Linked DNA regions of Arabidopsis thaliana. The protein of the gene in region 1 interacts with the protein of each later gene in a pairwise test. Each region holds a gene or a part of one and is shown on either strand. Other genes may lie near its edges.

The links.
Region 2: the proteins of AT4G26770 (region 1) and AT3G26110 interact in a protein complementation assay, tested with the Arabidopsis thaliana proteins (one large-scale study listed by BioGRID).
Region 3: the proteins of AT4G26770 (region 1) and AT5G55330 interact in a protein complementation assay, tested with the Arabidopsis thaliana proteins (one large-scale study listed by BioGRID).
Region 4: the proteins of AT4G26770 (region 1) and AT4G03600 interact in a protein complementation assay, tested with the Arabidopsis thaliana proteins (one large-scale study listed by BioGRID).

Annotation. Positions count from the first base shown.
Region 1 is NC_003075.7:13,479,830-13,485,478, forward strand, and holds AT4G26770 (Phosphatidate cytidylyltransferase family protein), read left to right. Parts: upstream 1-2,234; 5' UTR 2,235-2,389; intron 2,390-2,722; 5' UTR 2,723-2,750; coding exon 2,751-2,957; intron 2,958-3,029; coding exon 3,030-3,444; intron 3,445-3,519; coding exon 3,520-3,661; intron 3,662-3,735; coding exon 3,736-3,892; intron 3,893-3,983; coding exon 3,984-4,031; intron 4,032-4,108; coding exon 4,109-4,195; intron 4,196-4,283; coding exon 4,284-4,412; intron 4,413-4,495; coding exon 4,496-4,552; intron 4,553-4,627; coding exon 4,628-4,711; intron 4,712-4,778; coding exon 4,779-4,868; 3' UTR 4,869-5,114; downstream 5,115-5,649. Other genes in the region: MAP65-2 (microtubule-associated protein 65-2), read right to left, coding at 1-105, 183-338, 501-716, 793-1,038, 1,123-1,326, 1,400-1,471; AR192 (Co-chaperone GrpE family protein), read right to left, coding at 5,237-5,335, 5,431-5,559, 5,639-5,649. UniProt on the Arabidopsis thaliana protein: May be involved in the synthesis of minor phospholipids and in modulation of IP3-mediated signal transduction.
Region 2 is NC_003074.8:9,539,480-9,543,017, forward strand, and holds AT3G26110 (Anther-specific protein agp1-like protein), read left to right. Parts: upstream 1-2,003; 5' UTR 2,004-2,093; coding exon 2,094-2,480; 3' UTR 2,481-2,685; downstream 2,686-3,538. Other genes in the region: AT3G26100 (Regulator of chromosome condensation (RCC1) family protein), read left to right, coding at 1-330, 428-670; AT3G26115 (Pyridoxal-5'-phosphate-dependent enzyme family protein), read left to right, coding at 2,822-2,896, 3,046-3,354, 3,442-3,484.
Region 3 is NC_003076.8:22,436,871-22,441,106, reverse strand, and holds AT5G55330 (MBOAT (membrane bound O-acyl transferase) family protein), read left to right. Parts: upstream 1-2,222; 5' UTR 2,223-2,241; coding exon 2,242-3,282; 3' UTR 3,283-3,636; downstream 3,637-4,236. Other genes in the region: AT5G55340 (MBOAT (membrane bound O-acyl transferase) family protein), read left to right, coding at 121-1,122. UniProt on the Arabidopsis thaliana protein: Catalyzes the final step in the synthesis of long-chain linear esters (waxes).
Region 4 is NC_003075.7:1,602,877-1,606,410, reverse strand, and holds AT4G03600 (pyrroline-5-carboxylate reductase), read left to right. Parts: upstream 1-1,782; 5' UTR 1,783-2,102; coding exon 2,103-2,591; 3' UTR 2,592-2,773; downstream 2,774-3,534. Other genes in the region: AT4G03610 (Metallo-hydrolase/oxidoreductase superfamily protein), read right to left, coding at 1-14, 113-218, 307-448, 546-676, 780-921, 1,206-1,372; AT4G03590 (Cystatin/monellin superfamily protein), read left to right, coding at 3,461-3,534.

The DNA.
Region 1 (5,649 bases):
GTGAGCACGAGCATATATCTCCTCAAGCTCTGATTGCTTTTTGAATGCAATTTCCTTCATTCTGCTAGATTTCAGTTGATCAAGCCTATCCACTTCCACCTCAGCCTTCAAGAGTTCACAGAAGATTTTTAAAAGCAGTACTTATCATACACATTGATTGATACATTACAAATTTACGATACCTGTTCGATAAGATCAAGTGCGAGAGCACCAGAGGCAGTCACTTCATGAACTGAAGCTGAAATGTTAGAGGTAACATGGTCAAAAAGCTCCCTTTCCTCATCAGAAGTATCCATCAGATTCCATAGATCAGTTAGCTGAGTAGCTAGTTCTTGAAGCTGCATAAAACCAAGATACATTAATGAAATCCACAAACAAGAATGGTGCAGAGAAAAGTTACAAACTTTCAGCGCAATTAATCAGAAAGGATTTCAACATATGTGCAGCCTAAACTGACCAAGCTCATGTCAGAGATCACAAAGACCATGATTTTGACTAACCTTCTTAAGTCTTTGCATTTTATCTTCTTTAAGAGTCAAGACAGTCTTAGCCAACCTTGCAAGTGTTTCATTGCTAATGCTCTTGGTTTGAACACCATTTGCCTCATCTAAGCTCGGATGAACTTCGGTGACAGTGCTTAAGAAATCTAAACGAAGGACGGCACATAGATCATGCACCGTGCTCACAAACTCGAGCACCTTCTGTAACCTATCACTCTGCTCAAACACAAAGCAGTTTTAGTTCTGGTTTGAACATAGGCCACACATAACCATATCCCAACTAATATTTTACCTTCTCTTTCTGGAGCTCTTGGAGTTTCCTCTGGAAGTCATCTAATCTCTTTAGAGACAAGTCAGTCTCATCAACCACATGAGGTCCATTGTTCAATCCGCCAGCGATCTCCTCACATATCTTCTGAATCTGTGATTGTACATCAGAAAATGCCCGGACCCTTTCCTCTTTCTGTTGCCAAAGTTGTTCAAGCGCAGGTGCTATTGCAGAAAGTTGTTCTTTGATCGTTCCTGAAGTCTTATCAGGCTGCAATGGAAACAAAGACATTGAATCACACTACACTGTAACCATCTCATCTCTTTACCACTTGTAAGACGTGAGATTACTTACAATGTCGATATAGCTTTTTTCCCCGAGAGCAGTTGTGAGATTGGAAAGTTCAACAGTGGCATCTGACAAAGTCTGAAGAAGCTCTGCACGAGATTTTGCGGCTAGCTCAACTTTCTTTTTGTAAACATTCAGACACTCTTCCTCAATCTGTAGAAGCAGTTTGTCTCGTTCTTCATCACTCTCCCCAACCTCATCCCAGATTTCCTGTAACAAGTTTGTACATTGAGTTTGTGGAACCATATATTAAAAGGATAAGTGTGTATGTTGCGAAATCTACCTGCAACTTCTGTAGTAAGGTGCCACAAGTGATTTCACCAAGAAGAGGATTTTCTGCTTCTGTCACTGCCATTCTTGTGAAGTCAAAAGGTTTCCTACAAAAGTAGAAACAACGAACATATTTAGTGAAGATCCAAACTAACTATACACTAAAAGAAACCAAAGTTGCAATCTTTTTTAGAAAACCAAATTGAATCAGAAACAACATTTTGAACTTGGGAACAAAAACACATCAAAGAACTTAGTGAAGCTAAGAATGTGAAACTAAGCTCAAGAAAAGCTCGAAAGGAACTTCAAAGAAATCAAACAGCATTGGTGATAAAACCAAAGCCAAAGCAAGAAATCAACATTGAAGAAGTAAAGAGGCAATGAGCTGAAATGAAACTAATCGAATCCAACAAGTAGAAGATGGCTTTCTTACCTTAATCGATATTGAATCCAAATGGTTTATCTTCCTCTCTTTTAGATCTGAAGCGACGAATAGTCACTGTGAGAGTAAGAGAGAGAGAGAGCATAGGAAACAGAGAAATCTCCAACTTTGGTTATGGAGGTTGGGAAATGGGAAAAGTGGGACCCATTTTACGGAACTCAATAATTAATGAGGAAAAAACAACAGCAAAAAGGTGAGAGACCCTGTCTTTTCGCGTTATTTACTGATTTGACCACTGATCTCACAGACCTCGTTGACTCCTCATGCTCATGTCTGAATAGTTAAAAGGCTTTCCTTAATGGGCTTAAATATCTGACCCAGCCCAAACAGATCAAGACAACACGTGTCACTCATTCCGGGTTTAAACATGAAGCAGCGACATGAATAGTTTATTGGTTCTCTCTTCCGATGATTTGATGAAACCTCACCGCTAAGTGCTCATCCACCACCTTCCTCCTCCTCCTTCTTCCCTCACCTTTTGAGTTTCTTTCTTCACGTTTCTTTTCATTAATTAGGGTTTCGCATTTTCAATCACCATCATCCCACCACGTTTTCGTTAATGTAAGTTCATTCTCTTTTTTCTACTTGTCATGATCCCATTTTGTTGCAATGTTCACTTATGAAATTTATCCTTTGTATGTGAATCATCACGTTTTGCTTTGATGAATCATTTAGATTTCTAGGCTTACACATTCAAATCTAAATCCTCTATTATATGCTTGTTACACAAGTAATCTCTCATCAGATATCAATGTGTGTGTTTCATTAAGACGTGTATAAGCTCGAGTTATGGTTGACATTTTGAAATTATAGATCAACCCCAAATTCATTTCCTCGGATGTATAAAGAAACCCAGATCATCATGATTAACTGAATTTCAAGAACTCAATCCAGGAACTGAGAGCATTTCCTAGGGATCTCAATGGCAATGGAGAAAGATCTCAGTCCAAATTCTCCACGGATTAGAAAGCTAAGGGATACTAGTTACCCTACTACACCAACGTCTCGAATGAATACTAATAACCAGAGAGATAACCATTATCCCAACATTCCTAATTCACCAAGGGATTACAATTATACTCCTAGCTCTCCAACAGCTCGCATTCGACACCGCAGGCGATCAAGCGAGGTATCTATACAATGTCATACTCTCTTTTCCGGTTGAATCCAAAATTTGATTGTCTTTTTCAATATTGATCAGAATTTAGCTGAGGTGAACAGAAGCAATGTAAGCAGAGTAAGCAATTTGTTACTTGGTGATAAGAACAAGTACAGATCAATGTGGATAAGGACATGCTCATCTCTCTGGATGCTCGGTGGAGTTGTGTTTATAATCTACATGGGTCATCTCTACATTTGGGCTATGGTTGTGGTTATACAGATATTCATGGCCAAAGAGCTCTTCTTTCTTCGCAGAAGAGCTCATGAAGAACGTCGCTTACCCGGTTTCTGGCTCTTGAATTGGCACTTCTTCTTCACGGCTATGTTGTTTGTCTATGGACGCATCATTCAACAGCAGCTAGTCAACACGGTTTCTTCAGATAGATTCATATACAAGCTTGTGAGTGGTCTTATCAAGTACCAGATGGTTATTTGCTACTTCTTGTACATCGCAGGTTTGTCTGTTTCTTTTTTCTTCACAAAAACAATACTCTCTTTCTTGATTTATTAACAGCTTAAGTTGGATTCAGGTCTCATATGGTTTATCCTTACATTGAAGAATAAGATGTATAAGTATCAGTTTGGGCAATACGCTTGGACACATATGATCCTTATCGTTGTCTTTACTCAATCTTCTTTCACCGTCGCCAATATTTTTGAAGGGATCTTCTGGTACAATGGACTCTTATATATATCCACTGAAGCATAATAGTTTTCCCGAGTGCTAATTTCTTTTAAATATGCAGGTTTCTTCTACCAGCAGCACTGATTGCTATGAACGATGTAGCAGCTTACTTCTTCGGTTTCTATTTCGGGAAAACTCCGCTCATCAAGTTGTCTCCAAAGAAAACATGGGAAGGTTTCATCGGAGCATCAGTTGCAACTATAATCTCTGCATTTATTGTAATAACCTTCTTCTATCATTTATTCATTCGTTCGTAACTCTTTCTTTTGGTCTCAAGACTGATAGATTATTATCTGCTTCGTACAACAGTTTGCTAATGTCTTAGGCCAGTTCCAATGGCTTACATGTCCAAGGAAGGTAACAAAAAGTGATATCTCCATCACAATATTTTGTCTCGGCCTTTACTTCATCCTTGTGTTGCATATCTTTTGCAGGATTTATCAACTGGTTGGCTTCATTGTGATCCAGGCCCTCTCTTCAGGCCAGAGTATTACCCATTTCCCTCTTGGATTACTCCATTTGTAAGCAATTAACTGTCCTCTCGTGAAAACCAGCCGATGATGTTGTCTTGTTTTGAAACTGAGCTCCGTTGTGAACTTTGCTTAACAGTCTCCATGGAAAGGGATCTCGACCCTGCCTGTCCAATGGCATGCTTTTTCTCTCGGTCTATTCGCATCCATTATGGCGCCTTTTGGTGGCTTCTTCGCAAGCGGTTTCAAAAGAGCTTTCAAGATCAAGGTTAACACATTTTTCAAACATTAAAAGGTTTTGTATCTACAGATCCAAGAACAAATATTTACTAGTTTATGTCGCTTTGACAGGATTTCGGAGACAGCATACCAGGACATGGAGGATTTACTGACAGAATGGATTGCCAAGTAAGAGTCACTAACGTCGAAAAGTGCAATATGATCTTTGCATCGTTTTAAACGAATCTTGTTGCCTAAATGCAGATGGTTATGGCGGTTTTCGCATACATCTACATCCAATCTTTCATTGTTAATCGGGACTACAGTGTCGAGATGATCCTAGACCAGGTAAGAATCATCATATAAGCCAAGAATACGGAGGCATTGTAAATAATTGATTGTATTATACCTGCAGATATCGAGGAGCCTGGGACACGAGGAGCAGAAAATGCTTTATGAAAAGCTCGGAGACATTCTTCAACATAAGTTGCAAGGGAGGTTTTAAATAGTGAGTGCAAGTTTTGTGACTCTGTTTTCAGCTTCTTTCTCTATGGTTAGTTTCTGGTTGTATCAGACCATGTAAAACCTTGATTTGTATCTGATTTAACTAATCAAACAGAGACTTGGTAATAGTGTGCGAGTAGAAGAGATGTAAAATGATATTTTCCTCGTTCAATTATAGCATGGAGATAGAGAAAACAGACACAGAAGCAGGATTTCCCCTGCAAATGCCATGTCCAGCAACTTATGGGAGATCTTGTTCATCTAATGAATAACCAAACCACAAAAGAAAACTATGACTCGAAGACTCGAGAAGATGTTAATGGAAACATAGAACCGTAACAAAATTTATGAAAACCAGCTGACTTCTTCTTAAGCATCAGACTCTTTCTTTTCTTCTTGGTTCTCTCCTCCCTGGGTAACACCAACCTCAGCTGGTCTTATAACTCGGTCATACAGCGTGTATCCAGACTGCACATATTGACACCCATCATTACTAATTGGTATTTAAGACTATACAATATGAAATAAAGAGACAAAGAATTGAGCAAGCTTTATATATTTACCTTCAAGACATGAGCAACTGTGCCTTCTGGCTTAGAAGCATCAGGGACTTGGAACACTGCGTTATGTCTGTTTGGATCAAATGGCTCGTTTATAGGATCATACTTCTCCATACCAAATTTCTTAAATACCTGCAGCGGCACACATGTTTAACCGGTCTCATCTGCATTGCTTACTTAAGGTCTTATAATTACATTTCTCGATATTTACCTCAGCAAGCT
Region 2 (3,538 bases), on another chromosome or scaffold:
ACAGATGAGAAGTATCCTCGGGTCATCGAGCAGTTTCAGATATTGAATCTTCAACCTAGGGTAGTTGCAGCGGGTGCTTGGCATGCCGCGGTGGTAGGTCAGGATGGAAGAGTGTGCACTTGGGGTTGGGGAAGATATGGATGTTTAGGTCACGGTAACGAGGAGTGTGAATCAGTCCCTAAGGTTGTTGAAGGTCTAAGCCATGTCAAAGCAGTTCATGTCGCAACAGGAGACTACACTACTTTTGTGGTCTCAGACGATGGTGATGTTTACTCGTTTGGCTGCGGCGAATCCGCTAGTCTCGGTCACCATCCATCCTTTGATGAACAGGTTAGTGATTGGCCATGGCCTCCATTGTTTCTTTTGCTTACATTATATGTTCTAAACTTATGTTTAGTCGTATGTCTGGTTTGATTTTTTGTTGCAGGGTAATCGACATGCAAACGTGCTAAGTCCAACGGTAGTAACATCGCTAAAACAAGTGAACGAGCGGATGGTCCAGATAAGTCTAACGAACTCCATATACTGGAACGCTCATACATTTGCGCTCACGGAATCGGGGAAGCTATTCGCGTTTGGTGCAGGCGATCAGGGTCAGCTTGGAACAGAGCTTGGTAAGAACCAAAAAGAAAGGTGTGTACCGGAAAAAGTGGATATCGATCTCAGCTAGCTAGCTGACTTATGTGGTTTGGTTGGTAAGAAACTACGTTTGACATCAAGGAAACAAAAACGCAAGAAAATTTGCGTTTGCTTTTTATGTTCATAAGACTTGGAAGCTTGTACAAAAAGGGGAATAACATAAACTTGTCTTTAACATTTCATTGTATAGGGTTTTTAGATTATTCTAATTGTTCATTGGTTAAGTTTTAGGTTATGTTGTTAATAATTATCAAATAATTTCATTAAATCAAATTATTGTCAGATTCAATTTCTACCAAATTTTTATTTTATTTTCTGTTTTCATATTTGTTGGGTTTACATCTATATATACATTTTTGCAGCCATTTTGTGATTTACATTTATATATACATCAATAAATCATGGAGTTGGAACTTATTTACAATGGTTACCACTGGCTTATTCAATGCGAAAATTAACTATCAAATAAAAGCAAATCTTATTCAAAAGAATATGCTCTTATTCCATGGCCTAGTTATTTTTGCCAAAATGGTTAAAATATTTAAAAATTAAATAATTATTTGAAAGAAAACTTTAAATTGATTTAAATTATAAATCTTTTAATAAAAATATTAATAAAAAAATAAAATAAAATAATTTCACCGAACATGATTAGATAGTAGGACTAGATGGTATGACATGTTTATAATATTATAATATATAAACTTTATAACAATTAAATAAATATTTGAAAGAAAACTTCTAAATTGATTTGAATTAAATATTTTTTAAATTAAAGTATTATTAAAACAAAAATAACAAAATAATGTCTAATTTTACTGAACAGGGTTAGTGGTAGGACGGGTTTGGTCGATAGTATTACGAGACGGTATACCACAAGTGAAATCCATTAGATATGTTTAATTTCATTGTGCATGATTAGATGGTATGACGGGTTTTGATCGATAATAATACGAAACGATATACTACGGATGAAATCCTAGATATGACAATTAAAATCTATATATATATTATCTTAAACACTAAATAAAGCAAACAATATTAATAAAACAAATATCTACATATACATTTTATATAACAAATTTTATTAAAAACCTAGCCCCGCGGTATACCGCGGGTCAAAATCTAGTTAGAGTACTAATATTCTATCGAAGAAAAATCTAAAATCCTATTTCTCAAATTGTTTTTGCTATATTTGATAAGATTAGAATTTAGAAAAAGCTTAATTAGGAGTAGAAGATAATATGTAATTTGCAATTTTTTCCTCAACCTTTAATATTTTTGGCAAAACCTCAAATTGCGTTGAGTCATCTTAGCACTTTGATCAAACAACTATATAAGCAAAGACCCTCATTACACAATTCAAGATAAATAAATAAAACAAAATACCCATAAAACATTTTTCAAAAAAAAAAAGTTTTTTGGGGATTACTAAATAACTAAATTAAAAAATAATGGCGCGTCTTCACCTAGCTCTCCTCCTCCTCTTCGTCGCTATCTCCGCCGTGATCGTATCAGCTGCTGAGAACGAAAAACCACCGTCAACCACCACCGCCTCAGCTCCCACCGCTACAACTCCAACCGATGGCATTGGAGGTGATATAGCAGAGGGTCCAGCTGATGACAATGCTATTGGAACAACTGACAACGACGATGCAGCTGTTACTCCCGATGATGCCAATGGAGATGATGAAGTGGCAGTCGCCGGACCTATTGGAAGCGATGCTTCGTACGCTAACTATCCTCCACCACAAAAAGAAGCTTCCGGAAGCGATGCCACCGTAGCTTTTGGCTTTGTCTCTGTTGTTGGTGCAGTTGCTGGATCGCTCTTCTTTTTCTAGAGTTGTGATCGGCGCGCGAACTTATTACTATTGTAATAAAAATGTTTGTAATATTTTCTTGTTTTAGATGTATTTTGACGATCCCTTCTTCGATGTAACATTGATTATATTGGGATGATACATATTTAATATACTAATATAAAGAAAGTTTTTTATTTGTGGGGTTAATATATTTCTGCATCTCATAAATTTACAAAAATAGCCCACAATATATGGGCCGTATTTTCTCACAGGGCCTAGCCCATCAACGTGTGAGTAAGCGCGTGTTTTTCACGTCTAAAAACCTCCATATCTTCTCCGCTAGCTCCGGAATAGAAGAAATTTTGCAGAGAGAAGCGTCAATGAAGGTCCAACGGTCAACTTTTTTGGCGGTGACCGGAAAATCAAATCTTCATCACTTTCACTCGTCTTCTCAGGTTCTCTTTTCTCTTCTCTGCGTCATCTAAATCAATTAAAAATCGTTCCTTTTGTCACTTCTAAGAATACCCATTTGCAATTGCAGAAAAAAATCTGAACTTTTTCTGATTTCATTGCGTTTTGGGGATAATGTCTTAATCAATTTCAGAGAATTCCCATTACTTCCGAGATCGATTCACGAGAGTTTGTGTCTAAATTACTCGATAGAAAATGGGGATTACAGTGTCCTGCATCTCCAATTCAGCAGATTAGTGTTTCTTCTGTCAAAGGAATCGATAAATTCTCCTTCTTGAACAACACTCGTCCACATCTCGGAGATGAAATGTCGAAGTCGAAGCAAGGATCTTCTTTTTACATTCTTAGAGATGATCTTTTACATCCTCTTGTGAATGGTAACAAAGCTAGAAAGCTTGATGCTTTGTTACCACTTGTTGAAGATCATAAAGTGACTGATTTGGTGAGAATGTGATCACTTATAATATCTCTCAACTGGGTTTTTTTTTGGAAATGGCTTAAAGTTTAGAAGTTTTTTTCTTGTGTGTAGGTTACATGTGGAGGTTGTCAAAGTGCACATACAGCTGCTGTTGGTAAAAGTTTGAATCTTTAGAGAAGAAATGGTATTGACTTTTGATTGCAATTTG
Region 3 (4,236 bases), on another chromosome or scaffold:
TGCCTCTGTAACAATGTAACTATAGTTTTTCCCATTTCAAGACACATAAAAAAATAGCCAAGTAATAAGTTATAACCTCGGTGATTGCCAAAAACAACAACACAAACAAAGATCTGAGAGATGGATGAAGAACTCAAGAACTTGATCAAAGTATGGGTTTCTGCAATAATCTCGATATCTTATTGTTACTACATACCACCTAGAATCAAATCTGGTGCTCCTCGATTCCTCTCTGTTTCCCCTGTTCTTGCTCTGTTTCTTGTTCTTCCTCTGTTTTTCTCCTCTCTGCATTTATCTTTAATCACAGCGTTTTTCCTCACATGGCTTGCTAATTTCAAACTCATCCTCTTCTCCTTCGATAAAGGTCCTTTAATCCCAATTCCAACAAATTTCCCTCGATTCTTCTGCTTCACTTGCTTCCCCATCAAGGTTCAGCAAAACCCTAAATCTCAAAACCATTTGCCCAAATTGGTTTTCGCCATTAAACTTGCAATCTTTGCAGTGCTATTACATTTGTATAGCTACAGACAAAATCTGTCTCCGACTATACTATTAGGTCTCTATTTTGTGCATCTCTACTTAGAGATTGAGATTATATTAACGTTTGTTAAAGTTGTTGTTTTTATCTCTCTTGGCTGCGATCTTGAGCCACAGTCCAATAAACCGTACTTAGCCACATCTCTACAAGACTTCTGGGGTCGCCGGTGGAATCTCATGGTTCCGGCGATTCTCCGGCCAGCCGTTTACGCACCAATGCGGCGAGTCTCTGAACGCAAAATGAGTTCCGGTTGGGCTCTGTTTCCGGGGATTTTGGCAGCGTTTATCGTCTCCGGTTTGGTTCACGAATTGCTCTTCTTCTATTTGATACGTGAGATGCCTACAGGAGAAGTTACTCTGTTCTTTGTGTTACATGGCGTTTGTACTGCTGTAGAATTGGCGGTGAAGAAGAAAACGACGGTAGCACAGCGGTGGCGGTTGAGTCCGGGGGTGTCGCGGGTTCTCACGGTGGGGTTTGTGTTTGTGACTGGTGGTTGGTTGTTTACACCTCAGCTTAAAAGGAGCGGGGTGATGGAGAGATTCACATCTGAAGCTGTGTTGCTCGTTGAGTTCATTAAGCGATAAGTTATTTTATTTACGTTGTTGGGGATATTTTATAACGAGTGTTAAATGAGCACGAGTTAACGTTATTGAGTCCGGTTGAGCATCAAAGTCCATAATGGTCAACTACTTATCTTGAAATGAATCGAACTTGTCTTGTTGAAGATGTCGGCAAGTTGGAATTAGTAGAAACTCTTTAAGATGCTGCCAGCATGTCTCTTGGTCTCTTCATGCCGTTTCTTTCTTTCTTATCAAACCCTAAAAAAACTGACTTGCTTCAGTTCCAAGTTCGTTGTACATGACGATTTGTTTTTACTTGGAACTAAAGAATGAAATAATAGTGTTACTTGGAACCAAACCAACACTTCCTATCGATCGATCAATTTTTGTTCCCTCGACTACTGTTTGTGTCATGTTCACGTGAACCCTTTGTAGAGAGATTATCTAAATACAACATAGTTGGGAGGAAAGATCGCCAAAGAGCGTTAGCGAGAGGAAGAAAAAAACTATATGGATTTCCCATATAACGTCAAGCATAGGTCAAAATGTTTACTCTGCTGTCAAATTATTTAAGAAATAGAAGCTTCATTGCTCCCTCATCGGTAGAATTCGTCAACTTATTGCAGGTTTTGAATCATTCAAATTCTTTAGTTCCAGGCGAAAACGAATTTTTATGATATATTGATATTGCTTGTGTAGTTGTGTTACGAGAGATGGGTGCGTTTCAACTCGTACTTAGAACGGGAGGTCCCGCATGGCTTCATAATCGCATTAAGGAGAAACGACAACCTTAGTTTTATTTCACTGTTTTTTACGAGTGTTAATTATGCTCTGCTCTGCTAACTTTTTCATAAAAAAATTCAATATTTAAGACGTTGAAAAGAAAAACTATAAACGGTAGTCATACTTATTTTTTTTTATTTTTACATACACTACTAGTACTATATTACTATATCATAAAAGAGGAAAGTACTTAATTTGATAGATTTTCCAGAGCCATTAACTACTCAACAACTGCCAATAGTTTTTTCCCTTAAATGTGTAACAAACATACTGTCTTTATTAATTGCTCCCACGCTTATATACTACAACTGTAAACATTTTTCCTATGTTTCTTGGTTTATTATCACTTAACCAGTAACCATGGAGGAAGAACTCAAGTTATTCATCCAAGTATGGGTTTCTGCAATCATTTCAGTAACTTATTGTTACTACTTAACACCCAAAATCAAAACCAGTCTTCTTCGATTACTATCTGTTCTTCCTGTTTGTGTTTTGTTTCTTATTATTCCTATCTTTTTCTCCACTGTTCATTCCTCTTTCACTATTGCATTTTTCCTCTCAGGTCTTGCAGTTCCAAAACTCATCCTCTTTGCATTAGAAAAAGGTCCTCTTTTTCCACTTCCTCCTAATCTCCCTCATTTCGTCTGCTTTGCTTGCTTCCCCATCAAGCTTCAAAAAAAACCTAACCCTGAAAATACTAACCATTTCCCCAAATGGGTTTTTGCCCTGAAAGTTTTCATCTTTGGTGCCTTGTTACTACAAGCGTATCATTACAAACAATTTCTATCTACGAATTTTCTATTGGGTCTCTATGCTCTGCATATATACTTGGAGCTTGAGATTTCCTTAACCTTGATAAAATTTCTCGTCAGTATCACTCTTGGGTGTGACCTCGAGCCACAATTCAACGAACCATACTTAGCCACCTCTCTACATGACTTCTGGGGTCACCGATGGAACCTCATGGTCTCGAAGATTCTCTGGCTCGCAGTGTACAACCCCATACGGCAATGGCGAGCCAAGAGCTCCGAGTGGGATCGGTTCTTCGCGATTTTCGCCACGTTCCTCGTCTCTGGTGTGGCTCACGAGATTCTCTACTTCTATTTGACACGTGAGAAGCCTACATGGGAGGTGACTTGGTTCTTTGTGTTACATGGGTTTTGCATGGCGGCTGAAGTGGCACTGAAGAGGAAGACGAAGTTGGTGCAGCGGTGGCCGGTGAATCCGGCAGTGTCGAGACTGCTTACGGTGGGGTTTGTGTTTGTGACTGGTGTTTGGCTATTTTCCCCCCAGCCTATTAGGCACGGCTTGATGGAGAGGTTCATCAATGAAGACTTGTTTCTAATTGATTTCTTTAATCGTAAGTTATATATCCTCTTAGGGTTGTTTACGAGTCTTTAATAAATGGGAAAATTGGAAACAAAGGATAAATATTTAAAGAAAGAGATGGTAAGATTCTAAGAGAAATTGAAGCGAGGGAAATAAAGAAAGATAAATTGAAAAAAAAAGAGTTTTGTTTTGGAGTTATTTGAGAGGAGTGAACAGCTTAATTTTTGTGAAGAATAGAGGAAGACAATATCGAAGAAGTGATGAACGACGACTCCAAGTAAAAGAATATTGATTTGCTCCAAGTAAAAATAAATTGGTTTGGACTTTTTGTTTTGTATTTTGTAAGCATAAAAAAGCTGGAGATATAGTGGGATTTAAATTATATTAAACGCATATGTCACCAATCTTGATCATAAAATGTATAGATGGAAATTTTTTTAAATATTTATCTTTTATTTCCAATTTCCCCTTAATAAAATTTACATGTTTATTTATCAAAGTTGTTTTGTTTTCGCTAAACTATCTTACAAATAAATTAATAGGTGTTGAAGACAAAACTTCATTTTTCATCTATCCTAAAAATAAAGAAACCTGAAAAATATGGCAAATTTACTAAAAATATTCCGGTAGAGTAGTAGTCTTTTTGAATAATAGTATTTTTCGAAAATTGGTACATCTAAGATTCAAAAGGGGTATTTCATGAAAATTCCTCATATATTTGTCTATACTAAAAATATAACTTTATAATAATTTGATGAAATAAATCGGTGATTAATATTTTTGGACAGTTAGGTATACTGGTCTAGTGTTAAACTTGACTTGAAGTTGAACCATGTGAATTCTCCCATACGGAGAACTACCACCTTACACCGATAGTCTCAACTAAACATGAACCATAAACTCTTTGACAATTTCTCACTTTCTTTTTATTTTTCTTCTTTACTTTGAATATTAATTAGTTGGCTGTTGGCACGCTTTTGGTTACTCATCTAATTCACACTATATCAAATCACATTACAGAGAGGC
Region 4 (3,534 bases), about 12 Mb from region 1:
AGCTTTGGAAATAGCTGCTTAATCAAAGATTCATAAGAATATCAATCTTTCTCTTTAGTAGAAGTGAACTACAGAGGTATAATGATTAGGGCATAACATAATGAGCTCTTACCATACTCGGTACTCGGTGGAATCCGTGATACGTCTGATATATAAGCCACTTTACTTTTATCGCCGAAGAGGAAACCTAAAGCAATGTAGTCCTCTCCATGCATCACCTAAAGCATAACTAACATTGTTGAGTCTATAAGGTCTCATGGAAGAATTAGACTGTTTTGATTTCTCAAAAGTGAAAAGAAATTTAACCGGAAGAGGCGTGAAAGATAAGCCCGAGGCAGCGAATGGTTCGTCACAATTCTCTTCGATGTTTTTCCAGTCAAGAAGTGAAACTCGTCTAGGTACTTCTTTTACCTTCTTTTCAACCAAATAAGGAAACCTTGTAGCAATACTGCACAATTTTTTGTTGCCTTAAAAGTCTCATCAAATGCTAATTTGAAAAGCTTTAAGCCAGAGTTGAGATAGAGAACACTAATCGAAGATGGTACCTCTCCATTGTAAATTGAGATAGAAAGACGGGAAGTGGATCGGTATCAACAATAGTTGCACCACGAGGTTGAAGAGATCGAATTTCATCTAAGCCATGAACCGCATCTGCGTGCTCATGAGTTAGAATGATCTACACAAAATCATACAAGCATTAGTCAGTAAAAGTTAGATTTCATTTCAGAGAAAAAAATAGATGCAAGAGATCAAGAAGATAAGTATATAAAGGGCTTAACGGAATCGACTCGAGGAATCTTATAAAAGGTAAACCAACGAAGGACTTGCTCTCTAAAACTCTTGCCAACATCAATAAGTATGTACTTATGTCTACCATCTTCTTCCTTGCTGCAATAATCAATCAAGAGCGATGTATTGCATCTGCCAAAAAACAGAGAATCAAGATTCAAGAATGTTCACCAAACCCTAATATATCTGAAATAATTTCCCAAGAACACTAGAAATCGGATGGTTCATTTTTACCTAAAATGGATTAAAACCTAAACTCCAACACGAATATAGACAACAGTAGATGTCTCTTTTTTCAATCAAAACTCCCAACTTCAAAAGGGTCTTTACGGAAAGCAACAAGATTTGACATTTCACAAATCTCCACAGCTTCAAAGACCAAAACCCAAAGAGAAGAAACTGATGACAAGATTTACCTGTAGTTAGGGTTAAGGTGAGGAAGTAAAGAGAGGGACTGAGAACAGACATGGCAAGGAGGATCTGACGGCTGGAGTAAGCATCTGAAATCGGGAACTGCACCGGAGCAGCCTGTTCCAAGAAAGATCAGAGCCGTTCCATCATCATCAGATTGATTCTTCTCCATCTTCTCAAGATTCTGATCTTCTGGTTGGTCTAGCCAAAGCTGATTAATGCCAACGGCTATATCTTTGTTTATTGTATTAGTTGAGATTATATGCGATCCCTTACACAAACTTGTCTTTTTCACAGTATATATATTCCTTTTATTAACATAAAATATCTAAGCCATTACTTTGAGTCTTTGACACTGATATATGTAGTCATAATGATATTGACTACTAATTTTTCCAAACAAAATAGTAAAAGATTAATGACTTACCCCACAAATCCACCGGATTGTGATTTTTTTTGTTATATATCATTGTTTGACTCCTCTAAATTAGAAAAAAATCTTCTACATTTCTTTTTCTGTATAACAAAATCTTAAATTTAAATCGTTATGGTAACGAAATCTTTTCTTTTGTTTTTCCAGTTTATTGATTAAATATACTTCCACAGAATTTAAATTTACTTAATTATTAAAAACAATGCAGTCACAATCTTTCCAATTACCATTTCATTATCTCACAAATTCGACCAAATGTTTTTCATATTTCACAAAAAAAAATATATTAAAGCGCGTGTGAACCATAACCACGCGATTGCCAGCTCAAAAACAAATTCACAAAGAAGCGTACACGACACGCGCTACGACTGAGTGTAAGGATTCTCATAAACTGCTCTATTTTATTTTGCTCAGTCGCAGACAAATCTCAAAACAGATTCGATCGATAAGCAAGAACTTCCAATCTCTAATGGCAGATCAAACAGAATCTCCAAGATCGTATCATATCTTCATCACAATCATGAGTAAAAGACGGACATGGGTTTGTCTCTTCATCGCTGTCTACGCAATTCTCGTATCTTCTTCATGGAACCTCCTGAGATCAGTTCTTAACTGGTACAAGCTTCAATACACGTCATCAAATTCAGATTATTCTCCTTCAAGATTACCGGCGGTATACGCGTCGGTGGTGCTCGGTGCGATGTTTGGAGCTATGTCGATGGTGGCTGCTATGACGGTGGCGGTTCCGGCGGTGATGGTGATTTGGATATCGGTGGTGGTGTTGCTTGCCTTCTTTGGGAAATCAAGAAGAGTTTTAGTGGTTGAAGGAAGGAAGATTACGAGAGAAGTTGTCGGATTTGTGTTTAAGGTTCTTTTGAAAGAAGGCAATGTTGTTGCTGCTTTTTGTGCTGTTTTAGCTTATTTTCTGCTTATTAGAAGAGATTTTGACTCATATTAAGGTTCTTGATTTTTAGATTATTTAGGGAATTTTGATCTAGATTATCTTGAGTCACTCCCGAATGTAAATGTAAAGTTAATTTAGAAAATCAATTGTTAGTAGTAGAATGAAGAAGTTCATGATGCATTGGCTCAATTTTTTTTGTTTGTGGTTAGATAATTTTTCTTGATGACAGCATTTAGTATCTAGAATGGATCGTCCCACAACTTCTCATTTGAGATATTGAAAATCATGATTTGTTATCCGTTTGTGGGTTCATTGCCACACAATTTCAACACATGGACCAATAACCAAGTGATTTACATATCCTATTAAGTTTGTTATCAGTTTTCACTATTTAAGTTACCCGGTTATTATTTTAGTAGCTTAAAACTACATCAACTAGTTGAAGAGGCATGTTTTGCGAAGATAAGATCATATAATAATGGGTTACACAACTTCTTTCTTACTCAAATTCCTTCTTGAGGAAGGTGTAACATTCCAACATTGAAGTAGTGGATTTCACACACTGATACTTATTTTTATAAGTACCTTTCTTGATAAAAAGAATTCTAATACCTCAACTAAAAACTCTAATTTGGGGAAAAAAATTAATGTCTGCAAACCTTTTATAACAAAAAATTCTAAGAACTCTAAAATCATGAAAATGCGTGAATCTTTTTGTCTTTGGAACATATATTGTTGAACTTTTTTTTTTAACTGAGCAAAAAAAAGAATTTTTTTTTGAAAGACCAAATTGGATGACAATTATGTTAAATTTCACATGTTTCTAGGATAATAAGGTAATTTAAATACCATCGCTCGGTCTAGAGAATTACATCTTAGGATTTTGGGATTTCAGATAGAGGATTAGGGTTTAGTCGATCATCATGGTCCTCAATCAGTGTGCAAACGTGACGATGATAGAAGAAAAGTTGAGCAAGTTGATGGAAGAAATCGAATC